Arabidopsis thaliana: one gene and its partner. Each later gene encodes a partner of the first gene's protein in a complex. Each region holds a gene or a part of one and is shown in the gene's direction. Other genes may lie near its edges.

Region 1 (3,644 bases):
ATATATTGCCTCAACTTCCAGCGTTAAGAGTTTAATATGTCTAGAATTTTAAATGTGCCAGCTATATCAAAATATCATTGCCTCTGTTTTTCTTTCATTAGGAAGAAATATTTTTTTTAAAAAAACCATGTACAAGTATCATTGGATATGTGATATGCCCAAATAGATCATTCGAATTTTGTATGCAGAAAACTCTAATTCTTAGTTATGGATGCAAAATATTAATTATGGATCTTATTATTATTGTTTGTCATATTGCTGATAAGATTACTGATATAGTCAATTACTGAAAAGAAAATCATTTTGTTAATCTTGAATAAATAAGTCAGCAAAACAAGATGTACAATAGCAAAAATATCAACAAAATAAATTCTTTTTTTTCAAACAAAGTTAATATTTGCTTACAACACAGATTGGAAATTTCAAATATCCATCGCACATGCTATGTGACAGAAAAAAAATATGAACAATATACGTGATTATAAATTCAATAATCAATAGTAATAGTATCTATACGTAAATTAAAGATATTTGGTGGGGGCACAGAGATCAAGAAATTTTAATGATAAGAGAAGGAGCTTCTATTCTCTCTTTCTTTCTAACAATAACACTGTTTTTTTTTCCCCGTGAAGAATCCTAATCCCAAGAGAGTCAAAGTGTCAAACCATCTTCTAATTGAATATCTCCCCTAACTACAATTCCTAACTCTCATGCCACTAATCAATTACTTATTGTACATTTTTCTTTTTTTAATTAGTAACCAAATTTACAAAATTAACTCTAGGAAATCGTTTAATCCAAGATTCCCGGACGTTGGTCCAAGGGTATCACTCTACAAAATAATTATAAAAAATGACGAGGCATTTCATTTTCTAATCAATGTATTTTCTGATAAAGGATGTCATATAAACTTGGTATCTCATAAATAAAGTATCTAAACTTCAAAACGAACAACTACTATTACTTGATGAAAATAACAACACTATTATAATTAATGGTTAGTTGAGAAACAATACATAAAAAATTTGATGGAACTATGAGAGCCAGCCAGTTACTATCCTTCTCACCTTCCAATGGGTTGCGGCAAGAACCTTCACAACCTCCTTTATATTTGCGATGTGTATCTAGTCTTTTGCAATGGTCTCAAAACACTTTGGGTTTCATAAGTTTAACTATAATGGTGTCCCTGATATTTTCGGTCTAATATCTCTTAAAAAAGAAAAATACTTATGATTCATTTCAATTAATCAAGGTTCAAGAAGATATATAAACACTAGCCCTGACACATGAAACTTCGATGCCGAAAAGCTCTAAGATCAAAGCCGAATCTTTTTAAAACATACACGTGATTTTTGTGTCTCCCAAGACCATCTTAACCGGTCCATGTTTTCATGTTTTAGTTAGAAATCTAGATTAAGTCATTAAACTAATCCGTATCAGTAATTACCAGCTTGCATCTCAGAAGTCCATTATTATTTACATATCATCATCACATGCTAGACACAATCAATACCTTATGTCAATATCTAAAATAAGTCTATAATCATTAATACTTGTATTTATACCAATAGTATATCGTTTATTAAATATTATTCATACTTTATACATAAATATTCCACTAGGTTCTGAACTTGTAGTACTACTATTAATAACTCCGTCAAATAACTACTCAAAAGAACCTCTTTATCTCTCTCGTTTTATGATCTCTCTCGTCTATCATTCAAAGAAACAAAAAGAATGAGAAAGAAAGTAAGTAGTAGTGGTGACGAAGGAAACAATGAGTACAAGAAAGGTTTGTGGACAGTAGAAGAAGACAAAATCCTCATGGATTATGTCAAAGCTCATGGCAAAGGTCACTGGAATCGTATTGCCAAAAAGACTGGTCTCTTTCCTCTCTATCTCTCTCTCTAATCGTATTGACATAATTTATGAATTCTTTGTCACATGATTTTCTTTTACGAATGGTTTAAAGTTAAGGTTCTATATATTATATATGTTATTTTAGATTTAACTTTTAATCTATGTTAATAGAGTCCATATATCGCAAAAGCAACTTGAATCAGGATATTTATCTAGGGTCACCTTTTTGTTGTTTTTATTTTTATGAATTAAGGTCCTCAGTTAAATAATTGTATATGTGTGTTAGGTTTAAAGAGATGTGGAAAGAGTTGTAGATTGAGGTGGATGAATTATCTCAGCCCTAATGTGAAAAGAGGCAATTTCACCGAGCAAGAAGAGGATCTTATCATTAGGCTCCACAAGTTGCTTGGTAATAGGTATAACTTCATTTGCTCAAAATTAGTTTCTCTACTCAATTAATCATAAAAACAGCTATTTCTATCCATTTTGTATCAAGTTAAATAATCATAAATATTCGTGATTGTCTTCACAAACTTGCTTGGTAACACATGTTTTTATTCTCAAAATTTCAATACATTATATTTCACATGATAATTATATTGTTTATCTGTGTGTTTAATTAGGTGGTCTTTAATTGCTAAAAGAGTGCCGGGTCGAACGGATAATCAAGTGAAGAACTATTGGAACACGCATCTTAGTAAGAAACTCGGAATCAAAGATCAGAAAACCAAACAGAGCAATGGTGATATTGTTTATCAAATCAATCTCCCGAATCCTACCGAAACATCAGAAGAAACGAAAATCTCGAATATTGTCGATAACAATAATATCCTCGGAGATGAAATTCAAGAAGATCATCAAGGAAGTAACTACTTGAGTTCACTTTGGGTTCATGAGGATGAGTTTGAGCTTAGCACACTCACCAACATGATGGACTTTATAGATGGACACTGTTTTTGATGTGTTTTCTGCTTTTGTTATTTTAGTATTCGTTTATGTTTTGTTATTTTCAAAGCTGATCAAACACTAATACATCAACAGTCTTAGATTAAAAGTTGTTGATGTGGTAGTGTATGATTGGCTAAGTCTATTAATTAGGTGAACTTTCTTGGGTTAACTCTAATGTATATGCTTAAAAACTCTATATGCATCGATTAATGTTTTAAATGTTTCTTCAATTTCTTCCTAAGCAAAATTTTGGATTTTCTTTTGTGAATTGTTCATATAATCTTATTAAATGTTGGTTCAAGATATAAGCTAAAATTAAAAGAGTCGAACGATAACGGTAGGTTAGAAGGAGTATAGTTTATTTTTATTTTTATTTTACTTTGAGACGTACGTCCCTTAATTAATCTTCAAATTTGAAAAGAAGAAATTTCCAATTAAGTGGATACTACTACGTACCTTTTTGTCAACTAAATTTCGATTGTAGTTAAAACGATGCTAATGTGTATGTAAACGAGAAATTAGACAGAAACCTTGATTGCCCTGGCGAGTTTACTTGAAACGAACAAAATTAATACTAGTCAGACAATATAATGGGTCAAATTGTCACACTTCCCTAAAAAATTCTATAAATTGCTATGACAAAGCTGTCCCCCTTCTTAATAGTTTAATTTATGTTCTGTGTCTTTGGTTTTTAATATGTTCTTTGAAAGCTTGTCCCCCACTCCTTCCTTGATTATAATTGCTCAGACAGTTATATACAATGCATGAAACTATAGTAGTATATATATTCTAATTCTAAAGGAAGGTTTTCGATTATCGACATGGGGACATGTTGG
Region 2 (5,998 bases), on another chromosome or scaffold:
TTAGATATTATAATGAAAGATTTATTAGTTGTGTACTAGCTAATGGTTAATATGTCATATGTGTAACAAAATGAGGTGTATATTTAGTTTGTTTTTTTGTTTTTTTGTTTTTTGTCCAATGCATTAGAAGTACTGTCCAGAATTGTAGTATTTCACTACATTTTTATAGTCAAATTATATATATTAAGCAAAAGTCAAAATGACCCTTTTTGAGCTGAGAGCCGGAGACTATAGGCTACAGAATCTAATGTTTGCGTGTGTTCACGATGACCACAGTGTAACTAGATGACATATCTTTTAGGAAAGTAACGAAAAAAATAATCAGCAAAGAAAAACTATTTAAGAAATTACTGAAAACACAGACGTTCACGTTGATATAAATGTACAAATCTTCATTTATCAGGTTATTATGTTTTATGAATCATACAGTTAGTACATGAAATAAACAATATCTGACTCCGTTTTTCAACGTACAGACACGACAAGTAGTCCTAGTTAGGGGTGATAATTTTGGGAGATGCGAAGAATTAATTAAGAGCATGCACATAGCATATGATAATAATGACTCTTGGTTTCTTCTTTATTAATCATCTCATTTAAATATCATTTTCTCGTGATTTTGATCAACATAGGTTGTTACATAGCTAAACCCATTATCAATCCCTTACCTTAGAATTGAAGTCAAGGAAGAATACTAAACCTTACATTATCTTTAGATCCCAAATTCACTCGTTCTTGATAACCTTATTGTCTAACTCCATATATAATTGGCTCGTGTACGCATCTTTAATACAAATAATTTACGAGGTTGCGATTAATTAAAATGAAGGTGCATAGAAAATTAATTAGCAATTATACAAATGTTCTATGGTATTTCCGAAGATTCGAAAACAATGTAGAATATATATATTCAATGAACATAGTATATATTATATTTTAGTTAAACCATACAACGTAATTTAGTCAATACTAGAAGCTTGTCTCTCTCTCCAGGGTATCTCCTCGAGGCATAACATTAATTTCATGTCTTTCTTCGTGTTTCACCATTAGGATTTGTTCTATCTTAAAATCAAGTTAATATTTGTGTATATATTTGACCAGTAAGGCAGTAACATATAAACATTGCTTATAAGGGTGGCAAATTGGTTTGGTTGGATTTGTAAGTGTTATGCCTATGAATTTTTTTTTTGGTTCAAACTCTGCTTAAAGTCTAAAGACCTATATTATGAGTTACTAAAAAAAGTTATTTCCTCCGTTTCAAAATATAAGATGTTTTAAATAAAAATATAAAAATTAAAAAATCAAAATATAAGATGTTTTAATTAAAAATATAAAAATTAAAAAATATTTTTTAAAAAATTCAGCAGATTATAAAAGCTGATGCATAATATAAATATGTATACAATATTAAATTAATCTATAATTTACATAAAAACTTGAAAATATTTTATATTGTGAAACAAACAAATTTCTTCAGAACATCGTTTATCATGAAACGTAGAGAATAGGACATATCATTGATAGAAAAAAGATTTTAGAGATGGAAAAATAACTAATTTCTCTTAACAAAAATAAATTTCCAAAAGGAGAGTGGTGCTTGGAACACCGTATTCAAAAGGGTTATACACTAGACACTACTTTTTTTTTTTTTTACCATCTTGTTTTATATATATTTATTTAAAATTCCTCGTAAAGTTCAGTGTTTTGTGATTATATACAGTGTACACACACCTAAAATAAGTATCCATAAAGAGATTTGGTCATTCGGACACCGTCCTTTTCTCTCAACTCAAAGCTCAATTCAACCACAACAGATAGTAACTTGAAAGTCACAAATATTTAATATTTTCCCATTATAGAAGGTTAAAAAAAATAAATATATTCTGGGTTTTGTTGTCTTCTTCTTTCTTCCTCAGGAAACCAAACCAATGTCATGTAAAAATCACTAACTCATGACTAGTCATAACCTTTAAATCACTTCTGCTTTTTTTCTGTTTCTCTTTTGATTTATTCAAAGACAACAAAGTTTTGTTTTTGACAAAAAATCTGATCTTTGTTTGTTCGTTTGTTTGTTACATGGGGATGAAGAAACAATGGCAACCGGAGAAAACAGAACGGTGCCGGACAATCTAAAGAAACAGCTCGCAGTTTCAGTTCGAAACATTCAATGGAGTTATGGAATCTTCTGGTCTGTCTCTGCTTCTCAACCAGGGTACAATCTCGTAATCTTTATCCTTCAAATTAACTTTTCTTGAAAATAAAGTTTTGTTTGAGACATTCTTGACTTTAGTCCAAAACTCAGATAAAACTTTATCCTTACTTCAAGATTTCGATTTTTGTTATGTTTTCTCGATTAATCCAATTTTTCTTGGCTATCTTTTTTGTTTTCTCTAAACGAAGAGTGTTGGAGTGGGGAGATGGATATTACAATGGAGACATAAAGACAAGGAAGACGATTCAAGCAGCAGAAGTCAAAATTGACCAGTTAGGTCTTGAGAGAAGTGAGCAGCTTAGAGAGCTTTATGAATCTCTCTCCCTCGCTGAATCCTCAGCTTCCGGTAGCTCTCAGGTCACTAGACGAGCTTCCGCCGCCGCTCTCTCACCGGAGGACCTCACCGACACCGAGTGGTACTACTTAGTATGCATGTCTTTCGTCTTCAACATCGGTGAAGGGTAATTCCGTCTCTTCCTCATAATCCTTTCATTTCACCTTTTTTAAAAACAAAAACCTATCTTTCAGAAAAATTTCTTTTATGAAGAATATCGTTTTTAAATTATAGTATTATTTTATTCGTAGACATTATAAGAAAATGTAAACGATACCAAAATTCTAAAAAAAAAGTATAAGGGTATGTTTTATTTTGTCTCATAAAAAAAGACAAGAACACCCTTTATTAGCTTGTCTCCTTCATTTCTTCTTCCATGTGAGCTTATTCAGAAATCCGACATGTACGAGTTTAATTATTAACAATGCAATTATCCTTTATATTTACTTAATTTTTTTTATGTTTGTAGGTTTTTTTAAAGTATACCTCTTTTTAATCTTAGAAGACATACATAGATAGAAATGCGAAAGCACAACGGAAATAAGTTTTTACTTCATTTGCATAATTGCATTATACATTTGCTATTCAAAGAAAGTAGTAGAAAACTTTTGTTCCCATTAAGATAAAGATTTTGAGATACAAAACATAAAGGGTATTTCCGTCTTTCTAATGTAGAATCCCCGGAGGAGCGTTATCCAATGGAGAACCAATATGGCTTTGTAACGCTGAAACCGCCGATAGCAAAGTCTTCACTCGTTCTCTTCTAGCTAAAGTAAGTTTTTTGCAATTGGAAACGCTAACGCTAGAATTCAAGAACGCTATAACTGAAAACGCTCTTTTTTTTTTTTTTTTTCGTTTGGCGTTTTGCTCTTTAAAGAGTGCTTCGCTTCAGACAGTGGTTTGCTTCCCGTTTCTTGGAGGAGTCCTTGAGATTGGCACGACCGAACATGTAAGCCTATATTTCCTATTTTTTTTCCAACACTATCAAAACATTCTTAAAAGTACCCAAAACTTATCTTTTGTTCTTTTAGATTAAAGAGGACATGAACGTGATACAAAGTGTTAAGACGTTGTTCCTTGAAGCTCCTCCATATACTACAATATCGACAAGATCAGACTATCAAGAAATTTTTGATCCCTTAAGTGACGATAAATACACTCCGGTGTTTATAACCGAAGCTTTTCCAACAACTTCTACTAGCGGGTTTGAGCAAGAACCTGAGGATCATGATTCGTTCATCAACGATGGTGGTGCGTCTCAGGTACAAAGCTGGCAGTTTGTGGGTGAAGAAATCAGTAACTGCATTCACCAATCGTTAAATTCAAGCGATTGCGTTTCCCAAACGTTTGTTGGAACAACCGGGAGACTTGCTTGCGATCCAAGGAAGAGTAGGATTCAACGGTTAGGTCAGATTCAAGAACAGAGTAACCATGTAAATATGGACGACGATGTTCATTACCAAGGCGTGATATCGACGATTTTCAAAACAACGCATCAGCTAATACTCGGACCGCAGTTTCAGAACTTCGATAAGCGGTCTAGCTTCACAAGGTGGAAGCGATCATCATCTGTGAAAACATTGGGAGAGAAATCGCAGAAGATGATAAAGAAGATACTCTTCGAGGTTCCTTTGATGAACAAGAAAGAAGAGTTGTTACCGGACACACCAGAGGAAACCGGGAACCATGCCTTGTCCGAGAAGAAACGCCGCGAGAAATTGAATGAACGGTTTATGACATTGAGATCAATCATTCCCTCAATTAGTAAGGTAACCGATTCTAGCAAATCTGTTTCAGTAACGTTTTATGTTTATTTCTTGATAATAGGAAGACATGTTTAAATATAATGCTCTGAAGGAACTAAGCTTGAGTCTCTTGCTGATTCTACAGATTGATAAAGTGTCGATTCTTGATGATACAATTGAGTATCTTCAAGATTTACAGAAACGGGTTCAAGAGTTGGAATCTTGTAGAGAATCTGCTGATACAGAGACACGGATAACGATGATGAAGAGGAAGAAACCGGATGATGAGGAGGAAAGAGCATCAGCGAATTGTATGAACAGCAAAAGGAAGGGGAGTGATGTGAATGTAGGAGAAGATGAACCAGCTGATATCGGTTATGCTGGTCTAACGGATAACTTAAGGATCAGTTCATTAGGTAACGAGGTGGTTATTGAGCTTAGATGCGCTTGGAGAGAAGGGATATTGCTTGAGATAATGGATGTGATTAGTGATCTCAACTTGGATTCTCACTCGGTTCAGTCGTCAACCGGAGACGGTTTACTCTGCTTAACTGTCAATTGCAAGGTACAGTCATTAAACCAAGCTTGATTTATGTTACTCAACCGGAATATGAGCAAACCGAAATGTGATATGTAATGTTTAATGTTGATTGCAGCATAAAGGGACAAAAATAGCAACAACAGGAATGATCCAAGAGGCACTTCAAAGGGTTGCATGGATATGTTAAGGATTCAAGGTTTAGATTTGACAAAATTAGCTTTTTCTCTGGTTTGGTTTCCCAATTTTCGGTAATCAGTGATTCTAACCGAGTTTTTGTGATTTTGAAGTTTTGGAAGATCCTTAAGAATTCTTGAAAAATCGTTCCTTTTGGCTCATTACGTAGGAGAAGACAATAAGAAATTACTTACTTAGCAATTAGCATACTATGAAATTCAATTATGCGAAATATGAAAACCACTCGTAGTAGTTCGTGCACTATCATTTTTAAAAGTAAGTAAACTAGAACTTTTTTTTTGTTGTTGAAAGTAACTTTTGTATAAGTATTTGTAACGAGATCATATTTTGTGACTAGTTCAAGTTCGACCAAAAACATTATAGTAAAATCTAAAGAGATACTACATAGCCCGATTCCAGTATCTTAAGTCTTCAATCTCACTTCAAATATTCTTTATATGTTTTTAGAAAAGTTATGTAAGAAATTAAAAAAATATTTTTAGAAAAGTTAAAGATAGAAATGGTGGTCAAAAGCTGATAAAAGTGTTCGCAAAATACACTGCCTTATAGAGAAAAGAAGTAATGTCATTTCAAATAATTGCATCTAACGCCACTGAGATCTCACTTCAACATGTGTTACCATTTTAACATTAACTTTTTATTTCAAAAAGAAAGGAAGAAAATTGTAAGCACAAGGACTATACTGTATTTGGATTTCGTTTGGTAGCATCAAAGTAACACTCTCATTTTAGTAAGAGGTTAACTTTATTGAAAATACACATAATGTGGGGTTAGAAATTGTGTTGAACAATTTCTTGATTTAGAACGAAACTTAAAAAGAGTGGAAATTCTTTAATGGGTTGGTTGGCATGGTAGGTGGCCATTAAGAAGATCCATGAATTGGTGAAGTTGAGGTTTATATCATGTATTAGCCTCGGTATATAGTGTGTAAACCTTGATATTTAGTATGTAGAAGTATGACTATAGCTTGT

Evidence for each region. Proteins that work in one complex are often made in the same cells at the same time.
Region 2: the proteins of MYB66 (region 1) and EGL3 are in contact, whole or in part, in a crystal structure (PDB 7FDL), measured with the Arabidopsis thaliana proteins. Residues at the interface, in NP_196979.1 of Arabidopsis thaliana: Gln77 (codon at 2,230), Glu78 (codon at 2,233), Leu81 (codon at 2,242), Arg84 (codon at 2,251), Lys87 (codon at 2,260), Leu88 (codon at 2,263); in NP_001185302.1 of Arabidopsis thaliana: Tyr81 (codon at 2,522), Leu84 (codon at 2,531), Ser85 (codon at 2,534), Val120 (codon at 2,639), Ser123 (codon at 2,648), Phe124 (codon at 2,651), Ser153 (codon at 3,286), Leu160 (codon at 3,307), Leu161 (codon at 3,310).

What each region holds. Positions count from the first base shown.
Region 1 is NC_003076.8:4,762,832-4,766,475, reverse strand, and holds MYB66 (myb domain protein 66), read left to right. Parts: upstream 1-1,652; 5' UTR 1,653-1,737; coding exon 1,738-1,882; exon of another isoform or gene 1,883-2,146; coding exon 2,147-2,276; intron 2,277-2,483; coding exon 2,484-2,820; 3' UTR 2,821-3,104; downstream 3,105-3,644.
Region 2 is NC_003070.9:23,597,716-23,603,713, forward strand, and holds EGL3 (basic helix-loop-helix (bHLH) DNA-binding superfamily protein), read left to right. Parts: upstream 1-1,697; 5' UTR 1,698-1,935; exon of another isoform or gene 1,936-2,088; 5' UTR 2,089-2,093; coding exon 2,094-2,212; intron 2,213-2,400; coding exon 2,401-2,673; intron 2,674-3,221; coding exon 3,222-3,318; intron 3,319-3,423; coding exon 3,424-3,495; intron 3,496-3,577; coding exon 3,578-4,315; intron 4,316-4,436; coding exon 4,437-4,856; intron 4,857-4,947; coding exon 4,948-5,019; 3' UTR 5,020-5,449; downstream 5,450-5,998. UniProt on the Arabidopsis thaliana protein: Transcription activator, when associated with MYB75/PAP1, MYB90/PAP2 or TT2. Involved in epidermal cell fate specification. Negatively regulates stomata formation but promotes trichome formation.